2 linked regions of the Drosophila melanogaster genome follow. The protein of the gene in region 2 interacts with the protein of the main gene of each other region in a pairwise test. Each region holds a gene or a part of one and is shown on either strand. Other genes may lie near its edges.

Region 1 (5,851 bases), on a different chromosome or scaffold from region 2:
TAGTGAAAGTTTGTTATACATTTATGTTTTATTTTAATTTTGCTGCTGAAAATCCCATCGAAATTCCGACAAATAAAGTCGAATCCTCTGCCCGCACATAAGTGCGCCATATAATTTGCATAAGTGCTTGTCATGCATGTGGCATCCACATTCCCATCCACATCCTCGCAAGGGAGCCGCTGCAAGCCAAATGTTCAAATGGGTCACACAAAGTCCCATAAAAGTGGGTTAGGAACGGGTGGCGTAAATCAAAGTTTCCAAACTGAGCTGAGGAGACGAAAATAGCGACTGGGAGAAGCGATTTCGGAAGTGGGGAGACTCGTCTCGTCTCGAGGGGAAAACAAGTCGATTTGGACAATGTCCAAATCTGTGGCAATTATGTGGGTAAAAACAGTCAATAAAACATTGTAATCACCGCTACTGTTTGCCCCATGGCTCAGCTCGATTGTCGCATTTGTGGCATTTGAAATTAAATTTAACCAAATAAACAAGAAATTAGGGGGCGTGCTGTAATTAGTCAAATCTCCGTTTAGTCCTGGAGTTGGAGTGCCTGCCTGCCAACGTTTGGCTTATGGCGCAATTCGTTGTTAGTTCCAGTCACGTTTCATTGTTTACTCGCTGTATGTGTGCCGCCAGCCCGTATTAATTAATGCATAGGAATGTGTATTTAAGCATATTTTAAATATTAATTAATGTAATTTCTATTAAAACTGGCTATCTCCGCGCCCGCCCTTCGCCGGCCCCTCGCCGTTGGAAAAACCTTTCAACAAGCCGCACAATTTTAATTAGAAAAGTTTCATCAAGGCCCTGCACAGCCGCCTTGTATGCTTAACCGAAAAATATATGTTATACATTTATATTGTACATATATACAGATGAAAATATAGCTTTGGCAAACACAAGCCCGATTAAAGTGGGACATTTTTTGTGCTTCCTATTTTCCGGTGGCCAAAGAGGTGGAATTACCGTGAAAACGGCTGGGTTTTTCCATTTAATTTGAATTAGCATTTGTGTTCGAAAATTTGAATTTCCACTTCGGGTGAATTGAATAAGTGTTTGGCCACTTTTCCGCATTGCGAACTTGATTTAAGCTTGGCATTTCAATTTTCGCATTAAAATACTGATAGTTTTTGTTTTCTTCATTTCAGGCAATTCATTTTGAAATTGAAAAATCAATTTTGTTGTAAAACTTTAGGTTAGATTTTTTGTTGGTTAAATGCAAACCATAAGCCCTGGGGTAATGCTTGCGGGAAACTACCAGCTGGCCACCATTTTGTTTTACAAAGATAAAACTGCATTAGGACATTTAAGTTTGAATTGCCATTGAAATTTGCAGTTTGCATATCAATTTACTTTGCATAAACGTTTGCTCACTGCGCGACAGCTTTAAGGACCTTTTTGTTCGATTATTAACCATTCGCCTCGTGGCACTGCCCACACAATACACCGCAACAACTGCAAAAAAACAAAAAAAGCAATGCAGCGAAAGTGCTGCCAGCACTTTTATCTCTACCCCACCGCCCACACACGCCTGCCACGCCCACTTTTCCTACTGCCACTGATGCTGATGGAATTATTGTGTGCTCAACGAACCGCAAACAAAATCTGTGCTCGCTCCTGTTCGTTTTTGTTCACATTTTTAATACACATAAAATGGTGATTTTTTTCACCACTATTTTCAGCTTGTGGCTCTTGGCCATCCGCTCTTATCTTGGCCACAATTTGCTGTAAAGTTATACCGCCCAGCAAACCCAGCTAGCTGTGGCAGGTTGATGCTCGAATTTTGTTGGCTGTTTGTGCCGCAGGTGCGTAATGGCCAGGAGCGATTCGCGCTTATTAATCGCTGCTCATTTGTTTTTTCGAAGTCAAGCCAAAGATGCTGACCAACGCAGACCAATAAATCAAATGTCAGAGACAAAAATTAATTATGCCCGCAATAGCGCTGTCGTAATTTGTAACATAATCCGAGGTGCCTGGCTTCCACGCCCGCACAATTTGTCACAGCTTTTTGGTAAAACGGTGGTGCACGGAGTCCGAAATACTGAGTCCATTTTGCATGTGCAAAATACCGAGTTGTAAAATTTAATAAAACAAATTCCGTTCAAGCGACTTAGCCTCCGACTGAATTCGAATCTCGGCAACATCAAGCCAGAAATTCCGTAGCAGGCAACATTCCGCAAGGCACGAAGGATAAGGGCAGGGTTCTTAGGTCCGCATTCCACCTGATCCTGATCCCGAAGCCCCGAAACTAGCTCAAGACCCGGGCTGAGTCGAAAAAGGAGCCCGAGGCCATTGGCTGGCAAGCAGCATGGTGCACATAGTTTGAGTAGCTATTTTTCAGCAACTTGTTCCCCACCTGAACGATGCTGCTGATGTTGCATACTTTCGTACTTTCATACTAACAAATTCCGACTACCTGGTGTATACATCTATATACATACAATACATACGAGTACCCATATGCACACACGACTGACATCATGGCCACACGCATGAGCTGGCTTCGCTAGCTGCCTTTGTGGAATGCCCTCATGAATTTCATATGCTCCTCCATCTGCCTGCAGTGGCATCAACCTGGGGCATGAGATCCCTTCGGGGCAGCTGAGCCCGTCAAAAACATGCTCGTCCAAATGGCAACTGATTGGAGTTGGGTTGTGGATGTTTGGATCGCTTGCCCATGAATATTTCCAAATAAATGTACTCGACTATTAAAGATTATTGATTGATTAAGAAATTATAATCATTTTTGTTCATTAAGAGGTAACTATTCTCAAGCTTCGATTTGATGGGCTAACGCTCGAAAGTCCTAAGCATGGCCAGAAATGAGCCCGCAGTTCTGATGACCTGCAAGATATAATATCTTAAGTATGCCTTAATAATCCATTACTAAAAACCCACCCAAAGCAGCAGTGGCAAGTCCACAACGAACATGAATCCAAAAATCTTAGCCGGTCGCTGCGCCCTCATGATCACCATTTGCCAGAGTCTTCTTTTCTTTGGCGTCATTTCTGGCCAATTGATTTGACCATAAACGGCTTGTGCGATGGCCAAACTTTGCTGCTTTATATACTCGCCTCCATAGCAATACGAACTCAGTTGGATGATGATGGCCACTAGGAAGGTGGCTCTAAATGGCACCTGGGCACTCCAGCCACTGCGGCTGAAGCGAAAGGCCAACATGCAGAGTTGCAGGTAACTGAGCATGTATTTCACAAAGACGATCTCCCCGAAAATCGAACTTAGTTCCTTGGCCAAATCCAGAGCTATACGATGACGACTAACAAACCCGGTCAGGCGAGAGTCTCCGCCATTCAGATCCTTCTCTTCGAGAACAAGCTCCAGTAGTTGGAACTGAATCACCACATTGTGAGTCAGCCAGGAGAACAGGGTGTCCGTTGCAATGGCCAACCAGGCGGCAGCTGCCACGCCCAGTACGCCCCAAACGTAGATGGGCCAATAAAAGTGAGGCTTTCGCTCGTCCAGCCAGAAGTTGAACTCCATGGGTGTGGTCGGGGTAAATACACCCGTCTCCACATATCCCCACAGGCCAAGCAACATGGGCGCTATGGCCGAGGCACAAATCACTCCGTAGGCGGCATTTCTAAAGGACCTGGCGACATACCTATCCAGTTGGTTTTCCCTCTCGATCTTCTCCAGGTGATTGGGCGTGGCACTGGCCGCCTGGTTTAGCTTATGCAAACGGTGAATCAACGATCCAATGCGCCTTCGTTTCGCCATCATGACCAGGAACTTGAAGGTGCTCTGTGATCCTTGCATAAACACCGCAAAGTTGTCCGTCAGACGGGTCAAGTCGGAGAGATCCTGCAGGGCATAGACTACCATGGGCCAGTTGTGAGAGATCAAGGACAGGATGAGAATCCCGGCCCAGATGGGATGTTTCAGACTCAGTTGCGGAGTACTGGGATCGAATCCAACTATTTCCAGAGCTCTTCTCTGGACGGCAAAGTAGCTGGCGTCCATGTTGGTCTTTCAACCGGATTTCGTTGTTGCACCAACTTTTATAGCAGCCACTGGGGGCAAAAAAAAAAAGAAAAAAAAGAAAGCTAAGTGGATGCCGTTGCCGCCCCTGAAATTGTGCCTGAAATATTTATTTCATCCGTTAACAGGCTACGTGACACGGTTACCACTACCACACTGGCTGTGCTGTTTTGATTGGAAATTTTCCCATTTCCATTTAGGGGGGCGTAAATATCGTATTAACAAATAAATACCCAACACAAGTGGAAGTGGTGCGACACGTTGTTTACCTATTTGTTTACATTCTATTTGGTTATCTATCTATTTATTTTCACTTTAACATTTAAATGCCTGACTGGACAATGGCATGTTCTTATACAAGACCGCAAGGGTTATGATTATGAACAAGTTGTGATAGATATAATTTTTTCTGTAGCCTTGACATTTGGGCTAGAGCAAAGCATTTTTCCTTTTAAATTCCTTTTAAATTTGTGTATTTTGTACCAAAAAGTTAGCGTAAAAATTCCCTGTAAATACACCAAAATGAAATTAATTTTTGGGCTGGCCCCAAAAATCCTTTTTTTTCCCAATTTGTTTGCCCTCTGGGAGGAAAATGTCGGGACCCATTTGGTCCGCACTTTATTCGCGAGTAATTCAATTACGTGGGAAATCAACAAGTAAATCTGCTTTCGAAATTTATCGCCGGGACTAGACGAAATCGAGTGAAATAGCCATTTGCCAGGCCACATTATCTCCAAGCGTTTTTTCCCCCCGATTTGCATTTTGGGTTCTTTGCCTTTGGGTTCGGCTTAATGTCACCTTAACTGCTCTCAATTAATCTAGAGTGGGTGTGCCAAATAAAGACCTTTTCCTGGAATTTTAATAACCATCATTTGCATTTTTCCGAAGGATATTCGTAGCTGACTTGTTCAAAGTTGCGGCTACAAAAGTTATGCAACGTTATTTAGAGCGAGCTATGTACATATGTTGGCCTCCGGCCAATTGTGAATACAAAGAGTTATGTTTGAAAAACATGTTCAGTAATTAATTAAATTTACACTTGCAGATTTTTATTTAAATTTCATAGAGTCTGAGTAGTCATTGCAGTCGCACGTTTTCACATATTCGCCCGTTTGCATATCAAATTGATATTTTATGCAAAATATTTACCGAAAAGCCACAAAAGCAATAATGCCAGTGGCTGTGTGCGAAAGAGAGGGTCAGTATGTGCGAAAGAGAGAGGCACAATGAGAGTGAGAAAGAGAAAAAAAAGAAAAATGGGGAAAACGGAGAAGAGCACACCTGCTGCTCGATAATTTTGACGTCGGTCCGGCTTTTGGACTCCTCAGCAATTTGCTTACCATCTGTCTCTTTCTCCTGAAACATCTCTCCCTCTCTTTCGCACACCATGTGCCCATCTCTCTCGCTCCACTGAGGTTTTCGTGTCTTTTGCGGCTTTGTTTATTTCATTGCCTTCATGTAAGTGAAGGTGTGGCTGTGTGTGTGCATGTGCGACTCCTTTGTGTGTCACCCATTTTGGAGGTTTTTTATGAGCTTGTGGCGAACCGTAAAAAAAAACCGTCTTCCAAATGGAGTGGCATGCCAGGCTTAACCAGCTTGCCGAACTCTTGCTTGCCAGACCCCACTTGCCCCCCAACTCGTCTTCTTTTGTTCAGTTTAAGGAACTAGCAAAATGTTTCACATCATGTTGATCATTTGTTGCCCTATCAGCGGGAGTTTAGGGGTACAGATAGAGTGTACGGAGCTGGGAGATACCAAAGAGATTACCAAAGATACCATAGGGAAAACATTTTATTTAATACGAGTCTTTGATCCCTTTGCTGTTAATCATATGATGTTTTATTTGAACACA
Region 2 (5,128 bases):
TCTTATCTTATAACGATTCCGTGTAGAGAGTATAACTAAATACTTACAAAATTTTGTTTTCCATTGAGATCGTCTTATAAAAATATTTTTTATATAAATATTGGTTCAAAATTTGCAAGACTCGGCTTCTTACCAACAGATGTACCATGTCGAATTATAGGGTTACATATAAAAATCGATGCATTAGCTGTGGCGTCGAAGTACCAGTCCTTTCCACAAATGGATGCCATTTCAAAGTTCAGGACAAATTTAATTCTTGTGGCTCCAAAATAAGCAATCCTCGAAAACGGCCGAGTCAAATAAAAAGGCACAGGAATATTTCTCAAAGAAAGCTAAATAATGGTTTTAAATGGTCTTCATCATCTACGAAAAAACGATTCTATCCGTTAGTAAAGAAACAAAAATTGTTGATGTCCTCAGAGCCCTCTCATAAGGCTCTAATTTTAAGAGAGATGATTAGGTTAGGAAGAAAACCGAATCGAAAGTTCGAAAAGGCTGCGAGAAATAGTGTATTTCCGGGTAAGTAATCATAATGCAATTTAAACATATCATAACGAAAACTTTAATTCTTAGGCATCTGCCGTACGATATTGAAACTGCACCAGTATACTAATCTTGTACAGTAGAGATTACTGATGTCACAGATTCTTTTGAGATCAAAGTCCCCACCATATGGAATCATTTGGATGGATGGATCAATGGATGTAGATGAAATGGGTACATGCAGACATATATTTTTAGAAGAATCAATGGAAATTTAAGTATTTAAATATTTATTAAGCTAACGTACTTATATTGTGTACAACAGTTTTCAATTAAATGGAATAGGAAAATAAAGTCCTGGATGAGGTACATTTACATTGTAAATACCAGAAATGACAGCTTATTGTAAATAGTTTAATATACATTTATTATCACATGGTAAAGTCTGTATGATTGACGTATTTTTCGAATTAAGTATTTGAACTATTACTGCAATTGTTTCCCTCAATCCTCCGATTGAGCTCAGCATCAAACTCTGCGTCATTGAAACCGATGTCTCGACGGAAGAACTCATCGAGTACCTTAGCTTGGCACTGGCCTACCTCCATTGCGGCTCGCCAATCCGCGACATTTTGAGGAATTTTCTGACCCTCCATCTTAGCATACACCGGTTCCAGGGGACAATTGTAATGACGCAAGTCGGCCTTCACGTTCCTGGCAGTATTGATTACATGGTAGCACACTGCACACTCGAACTTCTCAAAGAGTGATGCTCCCGGAGAAGAATCGCCTATGTGGTACTGGCGCGTGACAAGGTTGTGGAGTAGCTTTTTGTTGGAAATGGGGTTACGCCGATTTAGTTTGTGTTGGCGGTACGAATTGTACAGCTTTTTGTTATCCGCCAACTTATTGAGATACTCTACCAATGCCTGAGGATTTTGAAAGTCGTTCACAAAAATTGCAGATTTATTATTCGGTTCCCAGTCCTGCAATATTTGTAGAATGTAATAAAAAAAAAATTGTGAAAATTATTATTTGAAATACGGACTTACTTTTATGGTGGGTGAGCCAAAGTAAATTGGAATAACTCCCATTATCAAAGGACGCCAAAACTTTTCGGTAATATAATCCGGACAGGCAGCGTTCTCAATGGCAATCATGAACTTGTATTCGGACAGGAAACGCAGCAACTCCGGTGAATATAAATTATTCAAGTAATCCTTCTGCAAGCTAAAACAAAATCAATAGGCATTGAACAATTTTTACGATTTCGATTGCAAATTAGATATTAGTGTTTTTCAGCTCGACATGAAGGGCATCCGCATCTTCCGTTGCTATCTTGGTCAGAATCATTTGAACTATTTTGAGACTCCATTATTGAATCGTCATCACAGAAAAGAGGTTCTTCTAGATCTTTATGATTTCCCTGACGACAGCAGCATTCTCTGGAAACGTTGCTCATTTGAGGCAGCGAGCCGTACAACTGCACCCAGCACTCTGAACAACAGACCTTGGGAAGCTCGTTGGCACTTGGTGATGTCATGATGGCAAAGGAATTTTAGAACGATAGTGTTTCACGTGATGTGTTTGTCACGCGTGTTTGTTATGAGTGTGTAAAATGTTTGGGATTATAAATAGGATACAAATGGAATAGCCTACTTGCCTCTCTGGCAGATCTCTATTCCGTAGGCAGCTGCCGTAGGAATCGATCGGAAGATGTTTCATCAGTTCCTTTACGTAGTCCTCCCTTCCAGACATCGTGTCGCAGTCGCTTTGGAGGAACACCACCGATGTGGATGGACGGTATCCGTACTTTGACTTGCCGTCAAACGTAACATAGTAATCCTTCGAAGTAAGCGCCTCGCCACTGGGCAAGTACATCGTAGTCAGCGGCAAGTTGCTGTAGCGGCTAAACGTGGATGTGAAATGGAAGTGGCGAAGGAACTCTTTATTGGACACAAAAGGGGTGTTCCTTGGTGATTCTTCATGCAGTAGGGCCCAGATTTGGTGCTCGTTCCGAGGCAGGGGAAAGTCTCCCGTCTTTATGTTTGAGCCGTAAAACAGGACGCCCTGTGAAAAATGTAAGAGACATTCCGTTATTATTATATCAAATTACAATGAATCTACAATTACATATCTTACTGAAGTAAGCGAATTTGTATCTGCAGTGCTATGCATTTCTCAGTCTAAGCTATGTGTTTACATATTTTTCAGAACTATGGTACAGTATCTCAAACAGTTGGAGCCCTATATTATTATTATTTTCAATCCAATTCTTATCATGTCTGCCGGATGTGAAACAAAAAGAAATCTAGACTTTTGGTTTTTGAAACGAACCCGGGCCCACGGACGGCGGCTCCGCTTGTTGGTGATGCGGCAAGTATGAATTCCGCACTGGCGCTGCACGTCGTAATTCCAGGACATATCCCTGGACCACCAGACCAGCTCCACAGGACTGTTGAACTTGATGTTTTCGTAGTTAATGATATTTTCCGACCAGAAGAACAATACGGTCGCCCCAACCATAAGCAGCGCAACCAGTGCAATTCCGTAACGTTGTGCCAGTCGCATGATTATCTTTGCAGTTCTTTGCTAGCTAGATAATCAAAATTATTCGCTGCACCACTTCGAAAAGATTCAAAAAGCCGGTGCGCCGCAATTTCGCTCGAGCGCCCCAATTTCGACTGTCAGTCGTCAGCTGATTTTGCTCAGATGTAGTGTTGGATAACGTTTGGTATTTTTGAGACACGATTTGCACGATACGATTGTATGCCAGGAAATGTATAAACATTTTTATTTAAAAAATAAAACAGTTCTGCCTGAATGTTTAATATAATTAAAACATATAATTATTATTCAACTTAAATTTTTAAAGCATAATTCTATTTATTTGATATTTTGTTTTTTAGATATTCAAATTACATTAATTATATTAACTAAACATATACTATATTTATTTTCTGTTAAAATTAATTACTTTCATATTTTAATTTCGAGCTGCTGGCATCGCGCGCTTGACCGTTTCCAGCCCTCGCCAGCTGCCATCCAGTCCGCCGCTGTTTTACAACACTGAACTTCGTCATAATATTGTTCCACTTACAATTGCTCAATTAAGCGACCGCAGAAGCAACAGAAACACCCATAAATCGGACGAAATGTGCCCATTCCAAGGCTAGAGAACGAACAGCCAATGAAAGTGGACTTATTGCGGAGCAACCAAAATGCAACATCTGGCAAGAGAGGCAGACGAGCGAAGGTAGAAAACAAACATTGACATAACACGTCAACGATTGGGAGCAGGTGAACCACCGGGGAAACCATACGGCGCGGCACTTTAAACGCAGAGCATGTGTTATGGCCACGACAAGATCCGCCGGAGGTGCCGCCACGTCCGTTGATACTGGACCGGCAGCAGGGAACTCGGGTATCAGAAAGCTATCGACGGCTAGCGTCGGTGGAATTGCCGGAGGAGTGGCGCCCAGCTGGCAGAGCTGCTACTACTGCACCCGGGAGCACTTTAAAAGCATCAGCGACTTCGTCAAGTGAGTGTCGTCCAAATCTTCCCATATAATAGAACTTTGAGCAGCCTTACGAGTCAATACCATTTTTATCTTAACTTTATATGCATGTATGAGTTAAAACGATAAATGCCAGGTAAATTGCACAGACAGGTAGAAATAATTAAAATTGTATAGCTGCAGTCGAACTCACAAACCTCGTTTAGAGGTGTTTTGTACGTAAGTTATATTTGGGATTGTCTAAAAGTGATTATACGGAAAACAATACAACTTCTATATATGTAATTTTAAAGATAATAGAATGTGTTGCAAATTCAATTGGAATTTAATAGAATATTGATTCATTAAAGTTACTCAGATCTTATAAAGCTGTTTTAATAAATGCTCTCATTACGCATTACAGTCACCTGCGAAATCGTCACTGTACCCGGGAGGGTGGCTCATTTGTGTGCCGCTATGGCTTCAATGGAGTATGTGCCTCGCTTCCACTGGACGGAGTCTCAGATCGCGATTACGACGCCCATGTCGCCAAGTACCATGTCAATCAGCACACGCGCGAAATGCCTCCCGAATGGGGAGTCTACTCGGCGGCCCAAAACCTGCCAGCGGTGCTCAACGATCCCTCGCGAGGAAAGCAGAGTAATCTGTTTACCAAAAAGTGGGGCGAGCATTTTGTGGAACGAAGTCATGTGCCCCCATCACCCCGATTGCCCGATATAACCCATGCGGATTTTACCGTGTATCTGGGCAGCATAGGGAAGCGATATCGTTGGCATGAGCGGCGGCAGCAACAACTGGAGCGTGATAAACCGCTGGAGAATGGAGCACAAGGAGCACCTGGACCGGGAACTGGTGGTCAGACACCAACACACTTGAGTTCTGTGCCCGAGATCTTTCTGAAATCACAACTGCAGCTTCATCATCCGGCAACCTTTAAGCAGGTATTTCCTAATTACATGCAAACATCGGCTTCCAGTCCGGAAAGTCATCAGCAAACTGGTCGTCAGCTGCAGGAACAGCTGAGTCACTACCTGGACATGGTGGAAGTTAAAATAGCGCAACAGGTATCGCAGAAATCGGCTGCGTTCTTTCACGCCATGACCACGCAGCACGCTATTCTGGCTGAG

Evidence for each region.
Region 1: the proteins of FucTB (region 2) and Or45a interact in a two-hybrid assay, tested with the Drosophila melanogaster proteins (one large-scale study listed by BioGRID).

The regions. Positions count from the first base shown.
Region 1 is NT_033778.4:9,343,552-9,349,402, reverse strand, and holds Or45a (odorant receptor 45a), read right to left. Parts: upstream 4,055-5,851; 5' UTR 3,982-4,054; coding exon 2,899-3,981; intron 2,845-2,898; coding exon 2,791-2,844; 3' UTR 540-2,790; downstream 1-539. UniProt on the Drosophila melanogaster protein: Odorant receptor which mediates acceptance or avoidance behavior, depending on its substrates. The odorant receptor repertoire encodes a large collection of odor stimuli that vary widely in identity, intensity, and duration.
Region 2 is NT_033779.5:9,427,877-9,433,004, forward strand, and holds FucTB (alpha1,3-fucosyltransferase B), read right to left. Parts: upstream 3,177-5,128; 5' UTR 3,055-3,176; coding exon 2,821-3,054; intron 2,554-2,820; coding exon 2,147-2,553; intron 2,125-2,146; exon of another isoform or gene 1,714-2,124; coding exon 1,536-1,713; intron 1,470-1,535; coding exon 954-1,469; 3' UTR 793-953; downstream 1-792. Other genes in the region: CG42847 (uncharacterized protein), read left to right, coding at 147-519, 574-626; scat (scattered), read left to right, coding at 3,838-4,025, 4,405-5,128.